Linked DNA regions of Diceros bicornis minor. The protein of the gene in region 2 interacts with the protein of the main gene of each other region in a biochemical or structural test. Links are inferred from orthologs where the notes say so. Each region holds a gene or a part of one and is shown on either strand. Other genes may lie near its edges.

What was found.
Region 1: the proteins of KAT2B (region 2) and IRF2 form a complex in vitro, tested with the Homo sapiens proteins (2 studies listed by BioGRID, with this or other methods). The link is inferred for Diceros bicornis minor from reciprocal best matches to the Homo sapiens genes KAT2B and IRF2.
Region 3: of the proteins of KAT2B (region 2) and histone H2B type 1-B, one has a biochemical effect on the other in vitro, tested with the Homo sapiens proteins (3 studies listed by BioGRID). The link is inferred for Diceros bicornis minor from reciprocal best matches to the Homo sapiens genes KAT2B and H2BC3.
Region 4: of the proteins of KAT2B (region 2) and KLF13, one has a biochemical effect on the other in vitro, tested with the Homo sapiens proteins (2 studies listed by BioGRID, with this or other methods). The link is inferred for Diceros bicornis minor from reciprocal best matches to the Homo sapiens genes KAT2B and KLF13.

Annotation. Positions count from the first base shown.
Region 1 is NC_080768.1:16,193,136-16,200,967, reverse strand, and holds the start of IRF2 (interferon regulatory factor 2), read left to right. Parts: upstream 1-4,827; 5' UTR 4,828-4,898; coding exon 4,899-5,075; intron 5,076-5,784; exon of another isoform or gene 5,785-5,991; intron 5,992-7,832. UniProt on the Homo sapiens protein: Specifically binds to the upstream regulatory region of type I IFN and IFN-inducible MHC class I genes (the interferon consensus sequence (ICS)) and represses those genes. Also acts as an activator for several genes including H4 and IL7.
Region 2 is NC_080741.1:25,827,516-25,835,246, reverse strand, and holds the start of KAT2B (histone acetyltransferase KAT2B), read right to left. Parts: upstream 3,018-7,731; 5' UTR 3,007-3,017; coding exon 2,713-3,006; intron 1-2,712. UniProt on the Homo sapiens protein: Functions as a histone acetyltransferase (HAT) to promote transcriptional activation. Has significant histone acetyltransferase activity with core histones (H3 and H4), and also with nucleosome core particles.
Region 3 is NC_080753.1:42,262,419-42,267,943, reverse strand, and holds histone H2B type 1-B, read right to left. Parts: upstream 970-5,525; 5' UTR 945-969; coding exon 564-944; 3' UTR 515-563; downstream 1-514. Other genes in the region: histone H2A type 1-like, read left to right, coding at 1,281-1,673. UniProt on the Homo sapiens protein: Core component of nucleosome. Nucleosomes wrap and compact DNA into chromatin, limiting DNA accessibility to the cellular machineries which require DNA as a template.
Region 4 is NC_080744.1:78,296,026-78,303,976, reverse strand, and holds the start of KLF13 (Krueppel-like factor 13), read left to right. Parts: upstream 1-4,947; 5' UTR 4,948-5,305; coding exon 5,306-5,891; intron 5,892-7,951. UniProt on the Homo sapiens protein: Transcription factor that activates expression from GC-rich minimal promoter regions, including genes in the cells of the erythroid lineage. Represses transcription by binding to the BTE site, a GC-rich DNA element, in competition with the activator SP1.

The DNA.
Region 1 (7,832 bases), on a different chromosome or scaffold from region 2:
GAAATTATAGCAAAAAACGGTTTATTAAGTTTTCAAAGTTGAAAGCCTTCCTTTTGGACAAGAAAAACTCTCTCGCTCCCTTACACACACACACGTATATCCTGGCAATTTTAAAGAGTATTTTTTCCCTTACTTCATCAGAAGAACAGGACAAAATTAATATTTATTACTAAGGATTGGGCAACATATTACTCAATTTAACTTTGTTATTTTCAGAAAATAATTGCAACAAAATGAACCTCATTTCAGAGTTTCTGGTAAAACGGGAAGAAACCATTACATGAAGTAATAGTCAAGAATTTCACCAACTTGGTGCCTATGTTCCTTGAACTCTGATCGAAGGCTTTTTCAACATCTTCACAGTTCTATTGTCTCCACTAAAATCTAACTTGGCTGTATGTTTCTTCAACATGGACTTCACAATAATATCCTTTGCAACGCAGAACTGGCATCTATGGCTCTGTACTGGCCCACTGCTCTGGCAAGCGTGGAACACTCATTTTCCATGATTTTATAACCCCTGAATTATAGTACCATGGAGGAGAGCCTCCGTGGCCAGGACAGAAGTGGTACCGGTGATACTGTGGAGAAGAGTGGGGCATCAACTGACAGACTGATGAGGGGCCACTGATTTAATCACAGCTATAAATACCTAACACTTCAGTTAGTATGCCATCATAATCTACATTCTTAACTTTAACGTCCAGTTCTAAAGGCTGTGATTGTAGATGGAGGTGATGTGGGTGCAATTACTGGGATAATACAGTGGAAATTAACATGCCAATATACTAGACTGTAAGAAAACTTCTTGGAAGGCAGCGATTTTCATTCGTTTTGTGCACTGCTGTATCCCAGTGCTGAGAAAATTTCTTGGGCACTTAATTAATGTTTGTGACTTGAATGATTATTTTATGAAACTATTCTCATTTATTAGAAAAATAAATAAGAAATCCATTTGAAAGGAGTTAACCTTGAATGTATCTTTAAATTTCTTCCTTAGTTGAGATCCATTCATGGAGACATCCATCACTACATGTCCCGGGAATCACTGTCCTTACTTGACTCCCCTGAAAAGAAACTGGTCCTGATGCATCCAGGTGGGTCTTCTTTTATGATGTTCCATTCCACAGGTAAAATACAAGAATGCCTCACTGAGGACACCACTCTGGTTTCATTATACAAGACTGTTCCAACAAGGGTGTTTGTATTAGACCAAGGTGTTTGGTCAGATTTCTTTGGTATGGCAAAGGTTACTTTTTCCAGAGACTTTCAAAAAGGTTATATTTTGCTATCTTGATCCATTTTCCACAGAGATTTATGACTATATGCATCTCATCAAAGGGCTAACAAATATTTCTTGACTGTGTATATAATACCATGTGGATTTTGGGGCTGTATTTACAAGGTCTGCAGTGACGTCATCAGGGGCATGAGAAGAGTGAAATTCAATCTATGCTTTGTGAGTTTAGGGGCATGGAACATTGGAAGCAATACTCATGCCTCAGGGAGCTCCAGGGGCCCAGGAAAGGCAGGAGTCTGTGATGCCTCCCCGTTTCCTGGCTGGTTAATGAAGTGACAAATACAAGGTTGCAGGGAAAGGTGTTATGAGTCTAGTTTTACACATGTTTAATTTGTTGCACCTAAGGAACCTCTAGGAGGTAATGCATCCAGAGCTCAGAAATGACAGATTCTGGAGTTATCACCAAACAGCGATCTCTGAAGCTTTGGGTGTGGGTGAGAGCACTCAAAGAGAAAGCAGGTAGAATGAGAAAATAGGAGGGTTGAGGATAGAATGTCTGGAAACACCATAATTTAGGGGGATGGCAGCAGAAGAGGAGCCAGCCAAGAAACAGAACAGGACACAGGGATATCACCCAGGCATCATGGAAATGGCAGCACAATGGGCGTTACAAAATGATAGAGAGATTGAGCAGATGAAGACTGGAAATGGCTCTTTAGAAAAAACTACTAGGAGGAAATACATAAAAATATCAACAGGTCTGTTCCTGACTGGTGAGATTTCAGGTGGCTTATTTTCTTCTTTCCAGTTTTCTGTCTTCTGTATAATAAGTATTGATTACATTTATATTAAAAAATAAAATACTCTGATAAAGTCTAAAATATTTTATGAGAACAAAGGGCAAGTAATTATTAATTCACAAGTATTTGAATGCCTACCTGCCAGGCACCATGCTAAAGATAAAAGAAGCGAGAGGATGGCTCTGTTGTTTTACGAAGAGGAACGGCAGCTGGTTTGACAAGGGAGAGGTGGACAGCTTGCGGGGCACCGTAGCAGGAGATGAGGCTGGAAAGGTAGTTTGATGCCAGATTATAATGGACTTTATATGTCTTGTCAAATAAAAGGGACTTTATTCTTAAGGCTGCAGGGAGGTTTTTGAGGGGTAGAGTTAAGACTGGAATTGTGCTTTACCTGAAGTTAATTTTCTACTGAACTTGGAAGTAGTGTGGCCGCTGGCTCGGAGGAGGCCAAGTCAGGACACAAGGAGCACAGTGACGAGCCACTGCTGGAACCGAAGGAAGGCAATGCGGTGGGGATGCAGAAGGGGCCAGGTCCAGGGAGATCTGGGACTAGCATCAACAGGTCAACAGGATACTACTGATTGGAGTATGTTGTGGGGAAGGAAGATGTCAAGGACTACTGGGTTTTTAACTTGGGTCCATGGGTGGGTAAGGAGTGACAGCAATCCTACAGAGTTTGTATATAGTGACTCTGATTGCTTTATAGTGGTCTTTGCTACAGGAAATAAGAAAGTGAGTGGCTGTGACACACAGTATTCTACGAGACGGATAAGAAAGAACGTGTGTATGTGAGATCTATCTCTGAGGCTGCAGCCACAAAATAGAATCCTAAACCTTCAGCTCTCTCCTCACGACATGTGCATATTTGGATACTTTTCTTTTTCTAGTTCATAGAATTCAGTACTTCTGTGGCAAAGAGGGGTCTTGGAGTTATGTTTTTAGGAAAGTGTTTACATATAAATAGCTATGGCCTCCCAGGAAGGGAGTTTCCCTGTTGGGTAGAGAAGTTTGGGAGGAGGCTGATGAAGCTGCCTGTGGGGGAAGAAACAGGTATAATTAGATGAGAATGCATCATTTTAAAGCATGGGACCAAAAAGCAGTAGGTCCCAAGTGAATTGTATCAGTTTGAGCTTGAAGGTGACAGGTACTGTACCTGTATTCTTGCATTCTCATTTAGCCCCACTTCACAGAATTGAAAACTGAGGGCTCAGGTTAAGCAACTTGACCAAGGATGCCCAGCTTGGAAGTTAAGGAGTACAAATTTGAACCTGGCTGAAAGTACTACAGTGTAAAGCCTCTTTCCTGGGCCAGCCACGGCCAAGACATCTTTAAGTAAAATCACATCCTTGCCCATGTCATCCTGGAGCAAGGTAACGCTGTTGCACTGGAGTGTGCTACTGTTGACGTACTAGAGGAAGGCCTTCCTTATCCCGTGGCTAGCCCCCAAACAGGGCGCCAGGTGGTGTCAGAGATGGCAGCAGCCCCTCGCATGGTTACACTCTCAACTACTGATAAGGGTTCAAACGAGGTTAAGGATGCAAGTCACTTGGCCCAGTTCTTGCATTAATATCTAAGTAACGCTGTCTTGTCAGTTAATTATTCCTTATATTTCTTTGAGGTGGGCAAATTCATTCTGAAGACAGCGGTTCTAAACACCTGCCCTACCCACAGGATAGCAAGAGCCCCTTTGCTTCCCCGGACGCCCTCCTCCTCCCTCCCGCCCAACCTCCAGGTAACCCTTAGGATGGAGAGGCAGGTACCCGCTTTCCTCTCCTACAGCCATTAGCTTCTGGCCTGAACCCGAGCTTGCGCCCCGTCACCCCCAGACCCCCGGGCCCCCCGAGTGTTCGCGCGGCGCATGGGAGCGCCCCGGTGTGCGAGAGACAGACTCACGAGCAGCCGCTTGTTGCTCCCACTGCCGCGACGTGGGGAAGTGAAAATGAAATTGACTTTTCCGAGAAATGATGACAGCGGCGCTGCCTGCCAATGAACGGCGGCGGCGAACTTCCGCACCTCCGGGCCGGGCCGCGCGCGCCCTCCCTCCGCCTCCACCTCCCGGTTGCACAAGCTTGAAACAAACACTGGGGAGGAAGGGCGGAGGGAGGAGGGCGGAGGGGGGAGCGAGGGAGGGAGCGAGGGAGGGAAGCAGGAGGAGGGCGGGGGGTGGGGGGATTTCCAGCCTCGGCTCTTCGCAGTTTCCTCTCCTTGTTTTGCTTTCGATCTGGACTGTTCTCAGGCAAGCCGGGGAGTAACTTTTAGTTTTGCTCCTGCGATTATTCAACTGACGGGCTTTCATTTCCATTTCATACACCCTAGCAACACTTAAACCTTGCGGAATTGTATTGGTAGCGTGAAAAAGCACACTGAGAGGTAACATTTTTCAAATAATAGTTGTGACTGTGCGTGTGTGTTTTTCTCGAGGGCATGTTTATGAGGACCGGAGGGGAGATGTATGCGTGCGTGTCCTGATGGTTTGACACGATGTTTTGCAGACGGAAAATGCTGAGGTTCATAAATATTAATACCGATTTTTGGAGGAACAGTCGGCGCCGTTATGGATCATCTGATTTTAGGGGAAGCAGGTTCTGCTGCTGTTGCTGCTGCTACTGGGGCTGCTGAGGCTGCAGAGAGGAGGAGGAGGTAGAGAGGGAGGAGGAGGAGGAGGAGGAGGAGGTCGGTGGAGGTTTAATTTCACTTTTGGATTTGCAGATGCGGAGAGGTGGCTCCATGGACACGGACCTGCTCTGTGTGATTCTGCGCCCCAGGTGTTGTGTGTGGGGGTGCAGGTCCGCTGGAGTCGGGCCTCCTTTTTAAAACAAAATTGTCGCGGACATGTGTGTGCGTGTGTGTGTTTACAGATGCCGTCGCCACCAGATCCGAAGGAGGGGAGCGGGTCCTTCTGGGTGCCCGGCGGCGGCGCCCCTCTCCAGGCAGCCTCCAGCGTAAATAAGCAGAACCCGCTGCCCGCCGGGCTGTCTGCGCCCGCGCCCCGGCCGGGAGAGGCGCCTCCAGCCGCGGCGAAAGGAAACTTGATGGTGCGCCCCGCGGCGGTCCCAGAGCTCGCCCGCCCCTGGGGCTCGGGGAAGGGGCGCAGGCGGCGGGTGCCAGCGGCCGGAGCCGGCGGGCGGGCTCGGAGCTGGGCTGGGCGCCGGGCCTGGCCGGCACGCCCGGCTTCCTGGGGGCTGGGCCGCCGCCGCCGCTCGGGGGGGACGCCGCGTCCTCCTTCCCGCCGGCCAGCGCCCGGCCTGGCCCTGGGGCTTTGTCACTGCACTTGTCCTGGCGCGCGGGGGGCTCGGGCGGCGCGTCCGGGGAGGGCGGCGCGCCGAGGGGTCATCTGCCCCGGCCGCGGCCTAGCCGGGCGCCTCCGGGTCCCCGCGGGCGCCCCCGGGCCGGCCTGGCGCGCTGGGCCTGACCCGCCTCGGCTACGGAGCGGGCGAGGTGGGGGCGGGGAGCCTCGGGGGACCGAGCGGCGCCCTGCTGGCAGGCGTGGGGGCCGGCGTCCACCGGGGGTCCTGGGGCGCGGGCTGCCGCGGGGTGGGGACGTGAGTGCCCGCCCCGCGCCCTCTGACCCCGCTCTGGGCGCCGAGTGGCATCTGCCCGCCGGCCGAACATGGTTGGTGCAAAGCCGCGGCCGCCACTTCCTCTCCGCCTCGCCGGCCGGGCTCGCCCACCGAGCGCTGCCCGCCGCGGCCAATCGTGGCGCCCGCCCGCCTGCGGCCGCCCTCAGCGCCACGGCCTGGGCGCCGGCCCCCGAGGGGGGCTCGGAAGCCTTTCCAAGTTCGGAGGGCGCCAGGATGCCCCTCATCCTCCTGCCCAGGACGCAGTGGCATCTCCCTTAGGCCCCAGGTGTGGGTGCGTTTGCCGCGCTGACCCCCTTGCCCCGTTAGAGGCGGAGAAGGGAAGGAGGCTGGCAGCCCGAGCCGGGCGCAAAGACGGTGTTCCGGGCACCAGGTGAGGCACCCGGGTCAGTCGGTGTAGGCAGGACCCTTGGTCATCAGCTGTAAACGTGACCTCTGGGACTGGCAGTCGAGGTTGCCTTACATTGGCAGCGTGGCCTTCACCCATCTTTAACCCCATAGGATAGTCCTTGGAACTTGGGGACATTTTACCCCAAGAGGGAGGGACTCCCTCTTCAGCCTCTTCCCTCCAGTGTGGGCAGTGGGTAGTGCTCCTCGTCCTTGGTTGCGGAATAAGAAAACGCGGAGTCCTTCTAAGTGAGGAATAGTGCTGGCGTTTGCCTCCTGCCCCTGGCCTCCTTGTTGCTGTGACTCGGTCTGCTTTTGATGAATGGCTCGGGAGGGTGGAGGATAGTTACATTTCCTGTTGTGGATTTTCAGGAATCACCAAGGTTGCTGTCAAGCCTGCAGTCTTTTATTAGTTTTCAGACTGACTGCAAATAATTGGAACTTAGCAGCCTGCACTTTTTGGTGCTTGAGGGCAGGTGCAGACAGGGGTCTGGTGACAGACTGAGTATGGAAGGTGGATGGTCTTGATGTTCCACAGATGCGCGCTCCCTTACCACGACCCCGAGGGTGATCCCTGTTTAACTTCGTCGTGCACACAGATTCAGGATTCTCTAGTTTTCTCAAACTGCTCCCCTCCCCCCAATCATTCTTTTTTTGGAGAGGGAAAGGATGGAAATAGAAACCTAAAAAATCCTGGAAAAACTTGTCTTTTTTAAGGAAACTTCCGCAGATGGAATGTTTAGGACTTAATATGGCATTTCTAAGGGGTAATTTTGGAACATTGATTGATTGAGGTGGCAAAGTCCGGAATTTCACTGTAATTAGTGAATGATTATAATTTATAACTTAGCCTGTTGTGTAAGAAGTTAGATTTTGGCCTCTAGATCCCAGAGTTCTTGTCTGTTATGATTTGTAGCTGCTTCTTAATATTAAACATTTACATATTTCATTCTCAATGAGTTGTCTCTTTTTCTGCTGACCTTCAAAAGTTAGAGATAATTCCACATATTTCAGACCCACCTGTAAAAATGTCATCATAATCAAAAGTAAGGGTTTGTAGTTAAATTGGAAGCAAATTATGGCAAATGGTTGTCCTCAAGTACTGAAAACTCTATGAACTGTGGCCGCACTTTTCTCTTTCTCTGCTTTCTGAAGTTCTTTATTAGGCACATATTCAATATACCAAAGCTAGTTAAAGATGTTTAAACTTAGTAGTGAAAAATTTGAAACTTTGGTTGTTTTACATGTGATGTGCATCGATTTTCCCATGTTGCCAAGGAAAGTGTACTTTTATTCTTAGTATCATTGAGTATAAGCTGTAGTTTTCAGAGCATTTTCACACAATTTCCTTTTGATAGAGAACAGACCACTGAACTCTAAATGGGGTATCTGGGACATGGTTGCATTACATGCTTTATACCAAAAAGGTCTTGAAGCAGACAAGGGACTTTATTTATTCATTTCATAAATATTACTAGAACATTCACTATGCCCCAGACACAGTGCTGGGCTCTGAGGGTTCAACTGGGAACAGGAGGACAACTTCTCTACCCTCTGGGGAGATAGTGCATTCTAGTTGTTGAGCTGACAGTACACAACTGAAAAATAAGTTCAGTAGCTGCCTAGTGAGGTTAGTTCTATGGAAGGTGATAATAATACTTAACTGTGTATCTGATAGGGTTGCTTTTGGGAACAAATGAGATACTGTATGTGAAAGACGGTTGCATAAATTACAGCAATCTACCAATGTTTGAGACATTAACTTTCAGAATTCTGTCAGATTATTAATTTAAAAAAGCCAGGGAGTCATGACGGTGGATTAAACAC
Region 2 (7,731 bases):
TTCCAGGTCCCTCCTCATTCCCTAACCTCTACTCTCTCCAACTTGCCAAGGGCCGGTTAGGGACAGAAGGTAGAAGAATCTGTCCTTTTGGTCTTTCTTATACGAAGGGTAGAGACCAGTTGAGAAAGAACCACAGATTCTGCTTTCTCATACCCCCTCACCCCAATCAAGCACAGTTAAAAAAAAAAAAAAAAAGGAAATCTGAGATAATGTTACTCCCCAGGTTAAGACTCCTGGATTCTCCAATGCCCTCTTGGACACACACCGCCCCAACCTTGTGGCCCAGCCAATGGAGCGCTCGCTCCTGCTGGCCCAGCTCCAAGCTTTCATAACTTTCAGTTTCCCCACTACAAGAAGCTTCACCTCACCCAGCCCTGCGCTGCCAAGAGTCCTTAGTACCCACTGACACTTCCTCCAGGAAGCCATCCCCACCCCTCCGTGCTGCAGCCCATGAACTGCCCTGCTTTGAGTTCTAACGCCACTCTAACAAAGCAGTTTTTTTGAACGTCACTGGAATTGGTTCACTGCCCACCTTCCCAGGCCTGCAATACACGCATGTGTGCACATGTACACACGCATGGTCGGTAGCTCCAGATGGACAGATTCTGGGTGTCTTAGCCCCAGCATCCAGCACAACGCCTGGCACCTAGTTGGGACTCCTCTAAATACTTGCTGAATGAATGAGCAAATAAAAATAGGCACTCTCAGAGTCTCCCAGGAGCAGGAAGCAAGGCCTTTACTAAGAGAGATTTTTCCCTATAAGTTTACCTACAAGCTTGGTAGCGAATGTGAACATGAAACCCTCAAGTCCCAAACTTTAGAAAAGGTGCTACATCTCACTCATGGAAATATAAAAGGATCAAAAATATCATTGTAGGGCACATAGGCTCGTGGGTTTAGATAGGACTAAAACTTCAGGCAAGTTTTCAGCTATGAAGTTTTCAACAGCAGGCAGCAGGGAGAGAAGGTGCTCACGATGGGAACCCAACTAACAGCTGGGACACACACAGAGCTGACACAGTTCCTCCAGGAGCCCACTCTGGCTGCCCAAGGCCAAGCCCACCACGTAACTGACCTTGGTCTTGATTCTGAGCAGTTCTCCCTTCTGCCTACCACACTCAAAGTCTTGTCTCACCAGTCTAACGCCCTTCAGAACCAACTCCTGGCTTTTCACCTTTCTTAGAAGCACACTCTCCACTTTATCTTTTTTGCTTGTCTTCTTCAGAAACACCAGCCGTGTGGCATTATTGCCTCACAGTTTCAGTTTTCTTTGCTGAATTTAAAAGGGACTAATATATTGTCTGGTTCTGGACTAGGGTCTTGCTACTTGCAGTGGGGTCAGTGGACCAGCGCCACATCATCAAGAGTTTGTTAGAAATGCAGAATCTCAGCCCCACCCCAGACCTACTGATTTAGGGTCAGCATTTTCACCAGATCCCCCAGTGACTCCTACGCACATTAAAGTCTGAGAAGCAATGGGCTGGATCCTACATTCATTCAACAAATATTTATTGAACCAGTGTGGGGTACACAGTGGGCATTCAACATACACATGAGGATGTGAACGGTGCTGAAAAAGGGGTTAAGCACAGACATTCCTTGCGGTTGAGAAGCTCCTGTAAATACTAAAAACAGCATCACCGGGAACCGGGTTCTAGCAGGATTAATAATCTCTAGTCCAAAATTCAGAAGCGGCCACTGCCGCTGAGTTGTGTGAATCTGAAACCCGGGAACTTGACCGTGTTTGCAGTAGGCGGGAGGAATACGTGGGAGGTGTGTGCCTGTGTCTCTTCCCCGCCTCAGCCACAGGCCTCGGGAGCTGACAAGGCCAAGTCCCCGCCCCCCTCAGCTGTCACCCTGTCAAAACAAAGCCGCTGCTGACAGCGCAGGGCCAGCCTGCCCCGCGGCCTCGGGCAATCCTCCCACCCCGGGAGCACGGCGCCCACATCTGGATCTGCAGCTGAGGGGCTACGGGGTGCCGAGGGCTGGGACGGAGAGGGGATGGCAAGAAACGTGCGTCCTCAAACTAAGCAGTCGCGCCCGCCGTGCTGGGCTGTCATCTTGCCAAATCCTGTTTACACCCGGAGCAGCTGGGACAGCCTTTTAACTAAACAAGTAATAATACAATAATGACGAGGCTGTCACCGCGCGCCGCAGCGCCTCTGCCCTCAGCCGAGAGCGCCCGGAGCTCCAGGACCCTCGCGTCGGGCTGTGCCCCTCTTCCCACCCTGCGCGTTCCGCCCCTTCGATCTCCCAAAGCGCCGGGAGTCCGGGAGCCTATTCCACCCTCACTCCTCCCACCTAGCTCCTTCCAATGGGGCACGGGGAGAGGACGGGCGAAGATCCCCAAAAAGATGTTTCCTTGGCCCCGGGGCGCTCGCCACACACTGAGCACTGCTCCGCTCCCTGGGAGGCGCCTCTGGCGGGCTCCTACAGAGCAACAAAGCCCCAGGGCAACCCAGGAGCGCGGACGCAGAGGCAACTCCTTCCGAGGGGAGCAATGAAAGGTTCTCGGTCTTGGTGATTCCCCTTCTTCCAACCCAACAGGACTCTTGTCCGAGAAGCAGCTAATTGGGTGCGGGCGACAGCAGCACTTCCGCGGTGCAGCGGCCCCGGGCGGGAGGCAGGAGGCGGGGGCGGGAGGGGGAGGGGGCAGGGGGCTCGCCGCCGGGCCCCAGCCCCCCGCGGCGGTCCGGCGCGGCGAGCCCGTACCTTGCAGGCGGAGTACACTCCGAGTTTCTCCAGTTTCTTGGCCCGCGGAGCGGAGCGCAGTTGCGCCTTCTTCACGGCGATCCGGGCCGAGCCGCCGCCTCCCGGTCCTTCGGCCGTGCCCGCCGCCGCCACCGCCGTCGCCGGTCCGCAGGCGCCCGAGCCCCCGGCGGCGGCGGCGGCGCACGGGGAGCCCTGCGGGGGCGCGGGCGGCGGCGCGGGGGGCTGTGCGGGCAGCGCCCCGAGCCCGGCCCCCGCCCCGCCGCCGGCCGGCCCGGCCCCGCCAGCCTCGGACATGCCGCCCCGGAGCGCGGCAGCAGGCGCCGAGTGTCAGGCGCCGCCGCCGCCAGGGTCTCCCGCTCGGGCTCCGGTCGCCGGGAGAGCGAGACCCTCCCCCACGCCCTCCCGCCCCCTGCGCCCACCCCCCTCCCCGCCCCCGCCCGCCCCGCGCGCCGCTCGCCGCGCGCTCCGGCCGCGGCCCGCGCGCTGACGGCGGTGGCGGCGGCGGCAGCTGCTCCCCCAGGAGGGAGGGGACTAGCGGCTCCGCGGCCGCCGCCGCCACTGCACACGCCCTCCCCCAGTGCTCCCCGGGGCTCCGCGCTGCGCCCTGGCCGCCGACATGTTCCTCGGGGCTGCGCACCGGGGGCGCCCCGGCCTCTGGCCCGCGGCCCGCGGGCTCTGCGCCCCCCACCCCCGCGCCTCGGCGCCCGGCGCTCGCCCGCCAGGGGGCGAGGCCACGCTCGGGGTGAGGGCGAGGGGGGATGAGGGTGGGGGTAGGGGGCCGGAGCCCAGGCACCTGCTGGCCGCCTCCGTCTCCGCAGCCCCCCCGGCCGACCCCCGCCCTGCCGAGCCCCCCCCCCGGGGGCGGGGGCGGTGGGGCGCGGGAGACTCCCAGTTATTTGTTCTTCGCCTCTATTCCACCCTCTCTCGGAACAGAGACAACTTCCTCCACCCTAGCGGGAGCCAGAGGAAAAAAAATATTTTTGAAAAGTACCCGTCCATGCTAATCCTTTTCTTTGTTGCTAATTCACCAAAATAAAAGCGTCATGTTTCCTATTTTTTTTTAAACGCTTTTCTGTCCAACTTTTTTTAAGAATGCTTTTCTTCCTATAGCAATTTCTGGATCTAATCTGCCAGCGGAAGGAAAAGACTGTGAATCAATATTTTCTGTAAATTTTGTTTGAAAGTGCTGGCTGTTAAAGGAACGGTTGTCTGAAAGCGCTGTCAGAATGAAAACTATGCGCAGTGGGAAAAGTTTGAATACAAAAAGTTGGTTAATACGGTTCATCTCTTCATGGTGGGATTCTAACCTTGCCTTTTTCTTTTCTATAATGTTCCATAGTTTTCAAAATTGATATCACCAGCATGCATATTAACCGTGAAAAAAATTTAAGCAGCATCCAAAAGAATGAGTGTTGATTTTGGCCTCAAACTTAAAAAAAACACACACAAAAAACTCAACTCAGCATTTTCATCTATTGTTGAAACTGTTGAAAACTGTCGTTTTCATTGTTAATGACAATGAGGGTGGTGTTTAGTATTGTGGAGTGCATATTTCAGTTTTTCATTTGAAAGTTGTGCACCCTTGGTTGGCCTTTCTAAAGCAGTTTGCAAAAGCCCAGCGTTATTTTTCAGGACCCTTCACAAGTGCCCTGCTTTTGTAATATGAGTCATAATTTTTATGTAATATGGGTCATAATGTGCGTATTATCAAATTCTTTGCATGCCGTGTAACTCTCGCCCAGCTCCAACCAGAGACGCCTTAAGGAATGTGCTTTCCCTGGAAACATTCCCCTTCCCATCCCGTTATTGTCAGTTAATTTGTTCTATCCTTTTTCTAGATTCTCTATGTTCTTTTGACTTTTAATGCAGAGTGATATGTTAAAATGATAAATAAAAAAAGTTTGTAGATCTAAATAGTGACATTAGACTGCACAGAAGGCAATAGCCTCTTCCAACTTCCGCGCGGTGTGAAGGTCTGAAATGGCAGACTCATCAGGCTCCATCAGGACACTTACTTGCCTGCTGGCTCTTCTGAGGTGTTTTGCAGATTTTTTTTTTGCGGTTCTCACCGAAGCAGGATGGGCTTCTTAAAGGCTGTGATGCCCTGTTCAAAATCTAACATCATGATGTTAGCAAATATGTGCATTTGAGCATTTCACTGGATATAAATTTCCCTCAAATAGTAAAAAAAAAAAAGAAAAGATAAATATTAATTCTAGTTAATGGTTCTCATGCTGAAAGTGTAGGGGTGCAGAGTCCTGATATCTGCAGCCTGCTTTGAGATGCAGAAATAAGATAGATTGATGCATCTGTGAATGGGCCAATAGGCAGATGAACAGATATATAATAAAGCAAGTAGAGCAAAATGTTAATAGTTGAATCTAGGTAGTGGGTATAGGAGTGTTCACTGTGCAGTTCTTTCAACTTTTCTGTATGTTTGAAATTTTCCATAATAAAATGTTGAGGAGGGAAATCCAGCTTTAATATTAATTCAGCCATCACCTCCCCCTCCCAAGCTGTCCCCAGAATTCAGGAGGCAGGCTATTTCCAGGATCTTTTGAAGCAGAAGAAAACAACCTCATTTCAATCCACCTTGAAAACCATCACTGTCTGAATGGTGAATGGCTTGTGACATCAACTGAACATTATTTTTCATTATTTTCCTGCTCTGAACACCCAGATGACATACTGCCTTAGGCGGAAGGCCCACATTTTCACGACCTATTCAAAGCGTTATGAGCACCAGGCAGGGACATTTCAAGGGCAAAGGATTCAGGAGGCTTGTTGCCTCTTCATAGTCAGGCTGTTGTGAATATTTATTTAGTAAGCTCCTGTGTGCAGAGCCCTTTTACAAAGTGGGTACCAAGAAAATAAAAGGCAATGTTTTAGTTTACAAAGTATTTACAACTGTGAAAGGATTTCCATCTAAAATGGAACTGGAGGATATGAAATGGAGACTCACCCTCAGAAGAACAGAAGTTAAGAACTGAGAGACTGATTTCCCATAAATGCCTGAATTACAGAAGATAAGACTTACCTCCTGACCAATGAACATCAGCCAAGAATCTCTCCCTAGCCTCAAGCCAATGAACTTACTGCTGGCTGGACTTCCCTCTCTTTGCACTCCTTGCCCAGAAATCCAGCCCACCCAAAACCTTTAATGGACTCGCCTGTAGCTTGCTACAGCATGCGTTTTCAGAATTGCAGTTCCTCAGCTATTACCAAATAAACTCAATTTCTGGTGGTTCAAGCTTGCCTCAGTTTACCTCTTTATTTAGGTTGGCATGACTTACTGAGGTAAGGAAGCCACAATTAGAAAATAAAGGGCTTGGAGAGTAGGAGTTGCAGGGGGCGGGTTGACCACTGGAGGTTGCTTCTGGTATATTAATCCTATAGAGTGTTACGCAGCTGTTACAAAGAATAACTTTTATACAAATGTAATAGCCTAGACAGATCTCCAAGAAATACTGTTGAAGGAACCTTGTACAGTATAATACCATTTATGTTAAAAACAAACTCACATTGACATATAAGCACAATTCTGTATATGTTCAATGAGTGCATACAAAAGTGCAAAACCAAGAGGAAGATTTAGAAAGATACACAGTAAACTCATTAATGTAGTTTCTTTTCACTGGGCACCCTTGAGAATGAAACTTATTTTTCTCATTTATGTATTCCCAGTTCCTCACTCAAAAAAAGCTCTCAATAAATACTAGTAGTCATTTCTACCTGTAAACTTTATCTTCGATCTGTTCATATCTGTCTCCATGGCTGTCACCTCTCGGCCAGAGTGCCAACAACAACTTCCTTCTGGTCTCTCTGCTTTTACTCTTGCTGTACCACAATCCCCTCTTCACAGTACAGAGTTTTACAACTGTAAATGCAAACCTGATCCCACAATTCCCCTTGAAACCCTCCAATGGCCTCTCCTAACATTTAAATTACAGTCTCAATTCCCTAACCTGTTTGGCAAGGCTCACCTCCCCTGGCCCTTCTCCCTGGTGTGAGGTACACTCCAGCCAAACTCGGGAAGCTCTTGCCTGCCTCAGGAGCTTTGCATGTGCTGTATTGCCTGACACCCTCCCCCAGAAGGCATGGCTGGCCCCTATTCATCTAGTATCCCTTGCTCAAAGATGCCGTCCCACCTAAGAAAGGCAAGTTTTGTGACCATCTATTGTTACTCCAACGTCTACTACCTTTTTGCCATCTTCCTTCCTTCCAAGCCCACACAGCTTCTGTAATGCACCTGAACCCCACAGGTGGATTGAAATTGTCCCCACTGAGGGCTCAGACACCAAGGGCTAAGTCTGGACCAGGCAGTATCAGAGCAGGTTTGCCCCACTGTGTGGCCAGTGGCTAACATCCTTCCTGGCACAGCCACCTGCTTTTAGAGACAGCGGCTTGACATGAGTGTAAAATAAAGACACGTCAGGTAGACGTCTCAGTGTGGAGCTCCTTGGGCCGACTTCCCACTGGAGAAAGTGGCTGTGAGTACTGGACATTTATTTTAATGATCTCTAAAACAAAATCTATACTTCTAAAGAAAAAGTACTGAAAAAAATTTATAAAATGAATCCTAAGGTGGGGAGACATAAAATCTCTAGTTTTCAAGCATTTACCCGATTAAATCGTCATTTCTGATGTGAGTCTTAACCATGCCTCATATACACTTATTGCTATTTTATTCATTTTTATTTTTAGCTGTTCTTAAATAACAATTTCCCATATTTAATATGAATGGGCCTAAATGTGATTGGCAGAGCATTGCCCTTGTAAGGAGAAAGGGTTGTTTTCTGTTTTAAATACTAACACATGCATGTTTTAGCAGCCTACCTGCCATTTACAATGAAGGTACAAAGTAAGGAAAAAAAATGAAGTCTCCTTTCTTCTGAACTCAAGCTAAATGGCTGACTGCTTTTCTAGAGCAATATGAGTATTTATCTCTTTGAGCAACTTGAAAATTATGTAAGAAAATCAAATTTCCAAAGAACCAAACTTTGATATGACCTAGATTTT
Region 3 (5,525 bases), on a different chromosome or scaffold from region 2:
GTTTCCCCAATGTTCTAGGACAGGGTGAGTTCAGGCTCCGGAAAGAAAGGCTAGGGGCCCTAACTAGCCTTTCTGCCGTCCGGACGCGCCTATTCACCGCCCCCCCCCCCTTATTTAGGGCAGCCTAAATAATCCCTAGGGTTCCTACTTCTCTGAAATCCTTACACCGCTTCTTTACCCAGCAGGGAAACTTCAATCTCCATCAGAAACGTACAGAGGCAGGGAGGGGAGGAGTATTTCCATGTACAGTTTAAAGAGCACCTGGAGGGTTGGTCAGGGGGAAATGGAACGTGGGTCTAGAAATACAAAGATGTGAAATAGCTGTTTTTTGGCCACTGCACTATAGAATTGTATTTCTCTTAAAGCGAAGTGACCTTCAAAGCACCATCTTGGCTCTAAGATTGCCTCAACTAGCAACGTTATTTGAATAAATTCCTTAGGACTCAAACTAATCAGTGGTCAAGACAATTATTCCACTAAAAAAGGGCAGTTACAGATCTCCTTCGACAAAGTGGGTGGCTCTGAAAAGAGCCTTTGGATTAAGGTGGTGCCTACACAAGCATTTACTTGGAGCTGGTGTACTTGGTGACGGCCTTGGTGCCCTCGGACACGGCGTGCTTGGCCAGCTCCCCGGGCAGCAGCAGGCGCACGGCCGTCTGGATCTCCCTGGACGTGATGGTCGAGCGCTTGTTGTAATGCGCCAGGCGCGACGCCTCGCCCGCGATGCGCTCGAAAATGTCGTTGACGAACGAGTTCATGATGCCCATAGCCTTGGACGAGATGCCGGTGTCGGGGTGGACCTGCTTCAGCACCTTGTACACGTAGATGGAGTAGCTCTCCTTGCGGCTGCGCTTGCGCTTCTTGCCATCTTTCTTCTGGGCCTTAGTGATAGCCTTCTTAGAGCCCTTCTTAGGGGCAGGAGCCGACTTGGAAGGCTCAGGCATGGCTTTTCCCAAAACCTGTAGAAACGCGAATAGCACTCTCCACAACAAAGTCTAGTACTGCAGACAGTCCAGAGCCCATTTATTTATAGTTCTTAAATGCAAATGAAGGTTCAAGATTTGTCACTCCTGATTGGACAGAGCAGCACACTACGGGGAGATGTTTATGCAAATCAGGGATTCTCATTCTCTTTTCCTATTGGATAGAACACAGTACATTGTGACCAATCGGATAGCTTACTAGCGCATCCTTGCACTGTGCATAAAATAATTTCTTCAAGCACTGGTATACATTTCTTCGCCTTCTGCAAAGGTTTTGTTGAATTTCTTTAGATTACTATGTCTGGACGTGGGAAACAGGGAGGTAAAAGCCGAGCTAAGGCCAAGACTCGATCATCCCGAGCCGGCCTTCAGTTCCCCGTGGGCCGAGTGCACCGCCTGCTCCGCAAGGGCAACTATGCCGAGCGGGTGGGGGCCGGCGCGCCGGTGTACCTGGCGGCGGTGCTGGAGTACCTGACGGCCGAGATCCTGGAGCTGGCGGGCAACGCGGCCCGCGACAACAAGAAGACGCGCATCATCCCGCGCCACCTGCAGCTGGCCATCCGCAACGACGAGGAGCTCAACAAGCTGCTGGGCAAAGTCACCATCGCGCAGGGCGGCGTCCTGCCCAATATTCAGGCTGTTTTGCTGCCCAAGAAAACCGAAAGTCACCACAAAGCCAAGGGCAAGTAAAGTCTACAACAAAACAACACATAACTCTCACGTTTTTCAGCTACCTAAAGGCTCTTTTCAGAGCCATCCATAGTTTCACAAAAAAGCTGGTAACCGAAGCCACGCCTCGTTGGTAATATCAGTCTTGAATCTTTGCAATATACAAGGTACCGTTAAAACGTTTCAGTTCCAGAAAAATAGGCTGTCCACAACAATTATTTTAGTGCACTACAGGTGACACTTGGGAAACCGACAAGGTGTTTTTAAAATAAAGCCAGGGTAGGAATGTCACTCGAACTCGAGACTAACAAGGAGCAGGGAAAATTTTCCGTTGGCTGATAATAGAGCTGCTCGGGGTTTTTGAGTTTCAATTTAAGCAAAAACCATTTGTCCAACACAAGTCAGCGAACATTTGCTGCGGTCCAGTGTGTTATCTGGCATTACTAGACCAGACGCTTTACATATGATTTTCCAAATAATCCACCCAGGGAACCTAGTGCCATGTAATTTCACACAAGAGAAAACAGACTCGGGATTAGGGGAGATAAAATGACTAAGAGCTGGGAAGCGGCAGTCCAGGCGATTCAAGATTTATTTTTTAAAAAGCTAACTCAACTTGGGGAAAAGAAAACAAGGTTCAATTTAGTGTGCCGACCAGCAGGATTGACATATCTGCGAGCGTGTCAAGAATTCAGTGTATCAGGTCCCACTCAGATTAACTGAATCAGAAGTTACATTCAACATGGTCCTTAAATGGCTAGTTATGCACACTGTACTTGGTGACAGGATGAAACAGAACATTTGAAAATTAATACCTTCAGGTCTCAAAGACTAAAAAATAGTACAGGGATGGGCGGTGGCATAATTCAGCCAATCAGATTCTCTAGTAATGAACTAATCCTCCTGGTTACCCTTGAGCCAATGGTTTTATCGCGCGGGACTTTTGAAAAATGACAAGACCAATCAGAATGTTTCTAACTATATTTAAAGGCAACTTGGCTTCTGCATGCCACAGATTCTGGGTTTGTCCTTAGTCGCTCCAATGGCTCGCACAAAACAGACTGCTCGCAAGTCCACCGGCGGGAAGGCGCCGCGCAAGCAGCTGGCCACCAAGGCGGCTCGCAAGAGCGCGCCGGCCACCGGCGGCGTGAAGAAGCCCCACCGCTACCGGCCCGGCACGGTGGCGCTGCGCGAGATCCGCCGCTACCAGAAGTCCACCGAGCTGCTGATCCGCAAGCTGCCCTTCCAGCGCCTGGTGCGCGAGATCGCGCAGGACTTCAAGACCGACCTGCGCTTCCAGAGCTCGGCCGTGATGGCGCTGCAGGAGGCGTGCGAGGCCTACCTGGTGGGGCTCTTCGAGGACACCAACCTGTGCGCCATCCACGCCAAGCGCGTCACTATCATGCCCAAGGACATCCAGCTCGCGCGCCGCATTCGCGGAGAAAGAGCATAAAACAAGCTTTTCCTCTTGATTGAAAAAAGGCTCTTTTCAGAGCCACCCACAATTTCACTTAAAAGCAGTTGTAATTTGATTGTAGATCTCAATTGCTAATAGGTAAGATACTACGCATTGTAAAAAAGTGTAAGTATGTAAAGCTTGAAGGCGTATAGTTAATACCACGTATTTGAGACTTTAATTGGCTGCTTTCTAGATTTAAATGAGATCGCTGTAAGCGGCAGTAGACCTATTAACTATTAAATAGCCACGTGTTGCCTAGTGACTTGTAGAAAGCAATTATTTTACTTTGACATAGGCACAAAAAACTATATTTGTGTACAGGAAATGGAGGCCAAAGTAAGCTTTTGTGCTTGGATTGTCCAGAGAATTTTCTCTAAAGTAGTTATCTTTTGTCTTTAGTTTTCAGAAACACGTTCATATTGATCCTCTCATATTTTCTTGTTTAACTGAATTTGGTCCAAGACAACAGTGAGTATATTTATATAGAAGACCCTGACCGTGCCCTGTCACTCCTACTTTTAATCCATCTAACATAATACAAATAAGTCTAACAGCAATATCAGTATACATAAAATTACCAGTAGTCCACAAGACATTCACATCTGGCTCCAGAATCCGGTATTGGTCTATCTGAAATGGGATTGTAGTTGAGGCGATAGAAACTGACCTCAGTACTCACCACCAGAGGTCCACTAAATAGGTTTATGCAACAAGAAAGATGACTTGTTAGGAACTCCAAAGTTCCTTTGCTTACGCTTAAAATCAATGATATCTGAGATACTGAAGGGTATCAACTATAGAGCTTCTCTCTTTTACCCATGCCCCCCTTTTAATAAATACAAAAACATCAAGTGTTAATTTCTTTTTTTTCTTTCCTTTTTTTTTGTGAGGAAGATCAGCCCTGAGCTAACATCCATGCTAATCCTCCTCTTTTTTTTTTTGCTGAGGAAGACCGGCTCTGAGCTAACATCTATTGCCAATCCTGCTTTTTTTTTTTTCTCCCGAAAGCCCCAGTACATAGCTGTATGTCATAGTTGCACATCCTTCCAGTTGCTGTATATGGGACTCGGCCTCAGCGTGGCCGGAGAAGCGGTGCGTCTGTGCGAGCCTCGGATCCGAACCCTGGCCGCCAGTAGCGGAGCGCGCGCACTCAACCGCCAAGCCACGGGGCTGGCCCTGTTAATTTCTTTTTTAATTTTCCAAATATAAAAGTATAATGTAACTGATGGAATAGATCAAGGTTTTCTGAGCCCTAAAGCTTATACAACTTGGTGACTCTTAAAAACTACCTTACAAAATTACAAATACAAAACCAGACAGTGAATGTTAGTTTATAATAGGGGAATAAATCAACAAATTCCAATATTACAAAAACAGACAAAACCATAGCCATCACAGAATTTAGAAAAATAGCACATTAACCCAAATACAACACCATAAACCTTTGTTTTTCTGTATTTTTGACTGCATACTCTGATTCCATTTTCAAATAAATATTTTGTAATATTTTTTTTATAGACAAGGGGAAGAGAATTCAGTATTTGCTCCAGGGTGATTGATCACAATTTGCTTTATTCTCTTGATAACTTGGAAGAGTTTCAGCTTCAAAACATTGTTGATAAAGTCAAGTAAGTTTTTAAGATTGTTTTCAAAGTTGGGAAAATCCTCTGTCAAGCTTCTTTCATATGTGAATGTAAAATTGGGAAGAATTCTTCACAGACTAGCTTCTGGCTCTATACATTTCAAATCTTGATTCTTCTCTACTGTGCACTCATTCCCAGTGCTGGGTGCTATGAATACATGAATGGCACATGGCATCTAGTTCTGCATCTTCTTGCAAGAAATCCAGGGGAGTTTGTCAGTGAGCAGAAGGAATATTCCTTGAAGCAATTCTTACATCAGATTGGCTAGCAACAACTGAACTATATATGAGCACATCTGCAAATTACACTATACACCTCATTAACTCCAAACTAAATACATAGCCAAGTAAATTTTCTCTTCACAAATCCCAAATATGCTCATCAGCATCCCAACATAATCAGACAAAAGGTGAACTGTAATGGAAGGGAAAATTGAGTGGAAATAATGATTTTAACCAGCTGTGATTAAAATATCTTAACATTGCAGTTTTTAAAAACATGAGACCGAGAGACCACACCCCCAGGGGCCCCTCCCAGGGCATTGGAAGCACAAGGCCTGACACTTGACTTTCAATTAGCTTCAGGGTAAATCTGCCTCGGAACTGACTATGCTTTTCCAACTGATACATGGTCTTCACCTGCCCTCCCACCACTCTGTTCTAGCACATCTCAGTCAAGTGCCCTAGGAATTGAGAGTCACTGGTCTTGGATGACTCTCAGGCCTCTGAGGTACAGCACTGCTTTGCATGATGCTTTGGATGGTGGTACTCT
Region 4 (7,951 bases), on a different chromosome or scaffold from region 2:
TCTCAGGATTGCTACGGATACTGTCTGCTGGGTATCTCCCACCTCTCCCCTTTCTGAATTGGGCTCTTGTGTTATTCTGTCCCTTTCCACCACTGTGCATTGGGATTGTGTACTGGGGCTGAGGGTGGGATGGGGCCGCAGACGATTTATCTTTAGGTTATAGGTCTCTAGACCAAGAAGAACCCCACGAGCCAGCCACATGCATCACATGAAGAAACCGCTGAGCCTCCTACAGAGGTCCTGGACCTGGACCTGGACGCTGCAGAATCTCCCTCACCTCGAATCCCTGTCACCCTTCCACTCTCTGTTTCCTGTCTCTCGCTTCTAGATTCACATTTAAAAGGTTCATGAGAGTGAATCAGGCCCACTCGCAGACGGGGAAAGTGTATTTTGCGTGTGGGAAAGAAGGCATGAGTGATACCTCTGGGTTGATGCTCTCCCTGTCCCTCTGCCATGGTATGTTCTACACAGAGGCTGCTCCATCAACCTGGATGTCCTCAGGAGCCTCACTATGGACACACAGCATGGCCAGAAAGAAACCATTGAGATTTGCAGGTTGATTGTACTGCGGCACCGCCCAGCCACTCCTGACCAATACAGAGATTCTATCTATTTCACCTCCTGAAGAAGTGTCCCCAGAGCTTCTGACCTGCTCCAGCCTGGCCTGGAGGCCCTCTGTGCCTCTCTCCTCCCTCCTGTGTTGAATGTCTGCTTTCTGGATCACATACTTCTCTTTCTTGGTGAAGCATGATTTCTAGCAGCTTCCTACCATGAGAAAGGATGCATGGAAGGTCAATTTTTTGAGACCTCATGCATCTAAAAATACTTGGTATATACTTTGGCTGGGTAAAGACTGGAAAATAATTTTCCTTTAGATTTCTCAAGGCTTGGCCTCCTGCCTTCTATCTTCTACTTGTTGCTGTGGAGAAGCCCACAGCCACTGTGACTCCTGACTGCCTCTATGTGACCTGCTTCTAAAGTCAGGACACTTTCTGTCCCCATTATTCTGAACAGCGACATGCTTTGGGGTACGGCTGTTTTCTCCCATTGTGCTGGCCTCCTTGTGTGCCTTTTCAACACACGTTCTTCAGTTGTGGAGACTTTTCTTGGGTTAATTCATTGATGATTCCCCCCTGTTTTCTCTGATCACTTTTTTTGGTTTCCTACTATTTAATCAATGGACTTTCTGGGTGGTCCTCTGATTTTTATTTTTTCTCTCCTATTTCCCATTTTTGGGGTTCTTTTTTTCTGCTTTCACAGAAGTTTCCTCAACTTTACCTTCCAATCCCTCTCTTGCAGGTTTTTTCATTTCTGCTACCTTATTCTAAATTTCCAAGAACTCTTTGTTTGCTCTCTGAATGTCTGTGTGTCTTCCTTTGCTGGGTTGCAATATCTTCTTTAATTTCTCTGATGACATTATTGATAGTTATGTTGATGTGTACTTCTCTCTGCATAGTCTCTGTTTCCTCCAAGTTGCTTTAAAAAAACCTATTGGGGCTTTAGATTTCATGACACAGGATTTCCTGAAATGCCAGGTCAGCTTTGGTTCTCTGTGACAGACCAATTAGAAGCTCTGTACACATGCGTGGGGGTCATTAACTGTGGCCTTCCCTCCAGGGTGATCTGGCTGTTTAGTTGGGCAACAGCAGATGTCAGAAAGTTCAGGTGTTCTCCTTGGCCTGGGATGATGCCCTAGGAAAGACCCTTCCAGTCTCCTGGCTGCCTGCATTCTGATTCCCAAAAGGGAGCTGGGAGGTGGTCTCAGTGTCCCATATCTGTACGTTCATTTCACCCGCCTGTTCCTGTTATGGCACCTCTGACCTTAACTGTGCCTGGTGGCTCCCAGCCCAAGATACACCCTTTTACCTTCTTCAGATAATAAACATCCAGTCTTTTGTCAGGATGGGGGAGGCTGCACGGAATTGGGGGTGGGGGGATTTGGGCATCTGAGTGCTTCTTAAGCAGACTTGTAGCCAATTATTCTTATTTTAGCCCCCTATTCACACCCACATCCAGAGGTACCTAGTGCCATCCATTTTTGAACCTTCTGGAGATTCCGCAGAGTTTCTTCTTGGCTTTTCTTCCTAGCTACATAACAGGATTTCATTTCCTCAGGTCTGCTAAGTATCTTAGCTTCAAAAATCGTGTTGCTGTTACTTCCTGCCTTGCTCGCCCTGTCCTTGCCAATTTCTACCTGACAACAAACAAACACTGTTGTTTCAGGAGGCTCCAGAAGTTGGAGTCAACACATGCTATCAATCCACCACCTTTTCCAGAAACCTCAGCCACCTCTGCAGTCTTTGCCTCTTTACTCCCCAGACACATCTGCATCCACTTGCTCTGGTCTGATCCTCCCTCCTCTGCTTGTGTTCATTCTGTTCCTTCCATGCGACACTTGATGCCCATCCACCCTCATATATATACATAAGCCACCTCTGTCAAAATTCTATTTAGCAAGGAAAACAGGGACCCGCAGCCATGGGTAGATTTTCTCTGGGGGAGAGAACTGTATTTATCTGGAGAATATTTCCACGTGGGGCTGGGATAAAACTTGCCGGACCTGAGGCTTCCTCCAGTGAACAATCATCAAATGCTTGAGAAACCAGCCAAGAGGCTGAGTTTTGCATTTAGAATGCCACCGGGCACAGCCAAAACCCGCAGGGAGGCCACACTCCGAGATGCCTGTAGACTGTGTCGCACTGTGGATGGGGTGAGGTGTGTGTCAGTGCAGAAGACCCTTGACCAGGTTGGCCTCCCCTCATGTAGGGCAGATGTCTTGTCCACTCAATGCCTACGATAGTGCCCACTGGTAGGAGCCCCCCATGTGTGTGCAGGCTGGGGTGTCCCAGCAGAGGTCATGAAGAAGTGGAAAAATGTGGAACCTTGAAGACTGGGCAGAATCCTGCTGGCTAGAGAGGGACGGGGAGGGGATGTGTGGCTAAGTCAGTGTCGGGCCAGCTCCATCCTTAATAAAGTGACTGATTGTGACATGTGGTGGGACTGGAAGAACATTCTGAATCATTATTTGGTCAGAACACAAATCTCTTAAATGTCATCAACACAATCTGCCTGGGAGAAGAATGGTTACTTCCTGCCAAGAAGAGACCCTCTTAGAGGAACTTGACCCAGCGGGCCGTACAGAGCCACCCCAGCACAGCGCGCTGTGCAGTCTTCCCAGAGGGCACAGCTCCATCAATGAGGGAACTTTAGGGTTAGAGTTACAGATACTCTGGGTACTCGAAAGTCCACGCCGGTTCACAGTTCACCATGACATGTGACCCAGAATGCCTGGCTCAGTTTCTCTTGGTTACCTGGAAAGAGAATTTTTTTCTACCCAGGCCCCATATTAACTTGGTGAGAAATGACTGCTCTTAATCGCGTGGGCAGCACGACGCTGCCCCACTCACCCCTCTTCAGTCTACAGGGGTTGAGTGCCTAGGCTGCTTTCACTCTCCAGGCTGCCAGGGAGGGCGGCTGACACGTTCGAACGTCCATCGAGGCAAATGAACCAGGGGCTGCAGACTCTGGCCTGTCTCCCGGAGTCAACGGCTGCCGGCGAGGGTCCGGAAAGGGGCTTGCTGCGCTCGGTTTCGAGGCAGTAGGAAGTTACGCACCGGCCTCTCCGGCGATGGCTTAGGCCTGGAGAAGAAAGGCGAGGGCTGTGGGGTGAGTGAGGGTGGCGGCACCAGTAAGACTCAAGGGCAAGTTGGCGGGCCGGGGCGGGGAGACCGCGGCGGGAGCGGCCCGGCATTTTCTTCCGGAGGCCCAGACAGTGGGGTGGGTGGGGCGCGGTGGGCGGGGTCCTCGCAGCTGGTGGCGTTTGAAGCCTCCCCGACCGCGGCGGGAGAGGGGCAGCCTGGAAGTTGGCAGCAGGCCTGGGGCGGGGAAGGAGAGGAAGGGGCCCACGTTCCCCGAGCGCGGCGCCAGCCGCCCCCAGCACGTAGTTCACTCCTGCAAGCACGGGACGCGGTGGGCACGTCACCCACGCTGCCAGGTTAACCACCGGCTCGGGGCCAGTCCAGCTTCGGGTGACCCGGGCTCAAGGGCAGCGCGACCCGCTTCGGCTTCCCGGCCGCCCGGACCAACCGGGGGAGCTCCCGGTCCCTCCTGCGGGAGCGGCCCCGCCCCATCCGTGACCCCGTTCCCGGCCGGTCCGCGCCGAGGGCCCGGCGCTCAGCAGGGGAAGAGCGTGGAGGGAGCGAGTGGCCTGAGTCTCAGGCGAGGCCACCCGGGAGCCCGGCGACGGTGGGGAGCGCAGGAGTCGTTCCTCCCCGAGGCGAAGCCGGCAGCTCCGTGCCGGGCCAGGCGGACACGCCTCCTCGCCGCGCAAACCTAGCTCTGGAGAGGAGAAGCGGAGGCGAGCCCCGCCGAGGCGCACCCACCCACGCGCCCCTCACGGGCGGGGACTGGAGGGACAAAGGGGCGCTCGCCTCCGCGCTGGGGTTCAAGGCTGTCACAGTACAAAAGCTCTGGTAGGAAAATACCCGGCGGAGTCCCCGCTGCGGGGGGGCAAAAGGGGAACAGCACGCGCGGCCACGCCCCGACCCGCCGCCCTCGGACGTCGTGCGTCAGCGTGCCCGGCTCCCTGCTCCCATTCCGCCCCTCCTCCCGCCGGCCAAGGGGGCACGCCCATTGGCGCGCGCAAGCCCTGAGGCCGGGCAGGCCCCTCTTGGAGGCCCGGATTGGCTTGGCAGCGTATCCACGGACCAATGGCTCCCACCCCTGTCCTCAGCCACGCCCCCTCCCCAGGCGCGGGCGCGCGACCGCGCTATCCTGTCGGTGCGCGCTCCGGGATCCCCGCCCCCTCAGCGCGCGCAGCTCCCCGCGGTCGTCGCCGCCTGTAACCTGCGCCGCCAGGATGTGGCTGGGGGCTGACGTCGGGTCCAGATGTGGCCCCGGCCCCGCCCACCCCCGGGGCCGGGCCGCCCACACTGAGCCGCCGCGCGCACGGCGGCTGTCTCGCCTGCCACAATGCGCGGCGAGCTTGCGGCCGCGACTTGGGGCGGTTGTCCCTAACGTCGCCGCTCGGCATCCTTAGAATAGGCCGCCCCTGACGCCGCGCGGGGACCCAACTCTCCCGCGCCCCCCATGCACTCACTCATTCGTGCCCGGCTGGGCGGACGCCTCGCGGACGCGGAGCCGCGCTGGTGACGGCAGAGGCGGCTGCGCGCCCAGCCCAGCCCGCGGAGAGGGCGCGCCGCGCCCCCGCCCCCAGCCCGCTCTCCGGAGGCCGTGGGTGCGGATGCGCCGCTGACGACTCGCAGCGACTAGCAGTGCCGCCGGCCCGCCGGCCGGAGCCCGCAGCATGGCAGCCGCCGCCTATGTGGACCACTTCGCCGCCGAGTGCCTCGTTTCCATGTCGAGCCGCGCGGTCGTGCACGGGCCGCGGGAGGGGCCGGAGCCCGGACCCGAGGGCGCGGCCGCCGCTGTCGCCGCCACGCTGCCCCTCGTCGAGGAGCGCCGCGACGGCAAGGACAGTGCCTCGCTCTTTGTGGTGGCACGGATCCTGGCGGACCTCAACCAGCAAGCGCCGGCGCCTGCCCCTGCGGAGCGCAGAGAGGGCGCCGCGGCCCGGAAGGCGAGGACCCCCTGCCGCCTGCCGCCTGCGCCGCCACCCGCCCCCGAGCCCGCCTCCCCCGGCGGCGAAGGCGCGGCGGCCGCGCCCCTCAGCCCGGCGTGGAGCGAGCCGGAGCCCGAGGGGGGTTTGGAGCCCGAGAGGGAGCCGGGGCCCGCGGGGAGCAGCGAGCCCGGCCTCAGACAAAGGGGCCGCCGGGGCCGAAGTCGCGCTGACCTCGAGTCCCCGCAGAGAAAGCACAAGTGCCACTACGCGGGCTGCGAGAAAGTTTACGGGAAATCCTCGCACCTTAAGGCGCACCTGAGAACTCACACAGGTCAGTGGGGCGGCCCGGGCGCCCCGAGCGCGCGGACCGGGGCCAACGCGAGCCTGCCTGACACGCTCCCGGAGCCGCTGGCCGGGCTCGGGGGGCGGTCGGGCTGGGAACTGCACGGGTCTCGCCCCTTTCCCCGCGACTCGGTGTTGCGATCGGCCCCGCGCGCCGCGTGGGGCGGGTCCCGGCGCTTGGAGCCGGCGCCCGCCGGGCGACCGCGCCCCCGCCGGGCACGCCCCCTCTCCCGGCGCGCTCGGGCGGGGCCGCGGGGGCGGATATCGTCATCTGGGCTGGGGGCGGGGACCCCGCCCAGACCGGGGTGGGGTAGCTCGGGCAGGTGCGGGAGAGCTGGGTGGGGGCTGCGGTGCTGCTTGTGGAGATGGGTGGCCGGGGCGCCCGGGAGCAGCGGGGGAGGGGGTGCCCTCGTCCGCCCCTTGCCTGTCAGCCCCTCCCCCGTCTGCTGTGCGCGCCCTCGGGAGGGGAGGGGCCGGTAGGGCTCGGGCGCGCGGCGGGCGAAGTTCACCCGGGGACAGGGTTCCCTCCAGCCGCTCGGCACATTCTTCGCTCTCCTTTTCCTGTAATTTTTCCAGCGCCCTAAGGTTTAATTTGTCGAAACCAGAGCCAGCGGCGGCCGACGCGGGGGGCGGTCCGGGTTCCCTGTCCGCAGCTCTTTGTGGGAGCCCCGCCCATCCGGCCCGCGGGGGCGCGCCCGACCCGAGGGGCTCCTCTGCCCGGCGGCGCCTTCTCCAGAAAGGAGTGCCCTGCCCGCTGCGAGTGGGTCTGCGCCGCCCTCTTCCCGGTCCTGCTCTCACCTGCCGGGGACCGGATGCGGGCGGGCGGCACCTGCACGGGGGCGGGCGGCCTGAGCCGGCAGCCTGGGGGCCGGGGACCGCCGCCCCGCCGCCCGCTCTCGATTCCAGGGCAGCACTTTCCATCGCGCAGGCCTGGGATCTTGTAGTTGATTCATTGTGGTTGTTTTTTGTTTTTTAAACACCAAGGTGGAAACGTTTTAACAGATGGCAATCTTTCTTCCCCAGTTTGGTTTAAAGAATTCTATATTTCTTTTGCGCTCATGCGAACTCTTTTGTGACATTTAACTTTTCCACATTTGGGGCAGGTTCAAAACCCGTTTGGGTACTTATAAGCTTGTACTGTTGCCTTGTAACCAAACGTTTAGCCTTCTCATTTGTAAGATAGTTCACAAGCTGACTTAAAACTGCAGCCTTCACGGCCAAAGAGCTGAAGGGCCCCTTTCTCTCGGTAAATTTGGAATGGAGCGGCCCAAGGTTTGCAGGTGTCACGGACCGCGGATAACAGAGGAACCGTCCCTTCGGAGGCTGCCCCCGCGTTTCTGGTCCCACGCGCTGGCCGCCCCCAACCACCTGGCAGGTGGTGGGGTGGAGGGTGAAGGCGGGGCCATTTTTAGGAATTCTGAGTCAGAATTAAGGGTGTGTGGACCCAGATCGGGTGTGGGGTTAGGGTAGGAGTGTTAGTTCAGCTTGGGAACGTACCTGCAAGGGTGGGTGTGGCTGTGGGGGAGGGGCCAACCTTGGTTCGGAACCAGGTAGATCCTGAGTTCTAGGGCTGGGGCAGCGCTTCGGGCGTGGCTGGGGTTGAGGACCGCGTTGGGGGGCGAGGCCGGTACTGGGCGGGAAACCTAAAGATTGGAAAATCTTTTTGTAGCCAGTTTCACTGTGGTCTCCCACCCGGCAGCACCCGCTAGCCGGGTTCGCGAACTGCGCAGGGGCTGGTCGAGGGGCGGGGCTCGCTGTCGTGGGCGGGGCCGGCCTGGGCCGGGGGCATCTGTCGCGGGATGGCTTCCGGATTGGCTCGCCCCCTGGTCCAGGCTCTGTGGGCCCTGAGCGGGCCCCTTGGCTAGCAGATTGAGGCAGGGGCGCTGGGAACCCGCGCCTCCCGTGTTGGGGTGGAAGCCAGTCTCTGTGTGGTGCCTGGAAACCCTAGGCAGGCAGAAGAGGATGGAAGCAACACTCTGCTTGCATTGTGACTATGTCTATTGTTAGAGCAGGGAGCCGGTCGTCCAGGTGTGCAGAAACTGGAGGCCT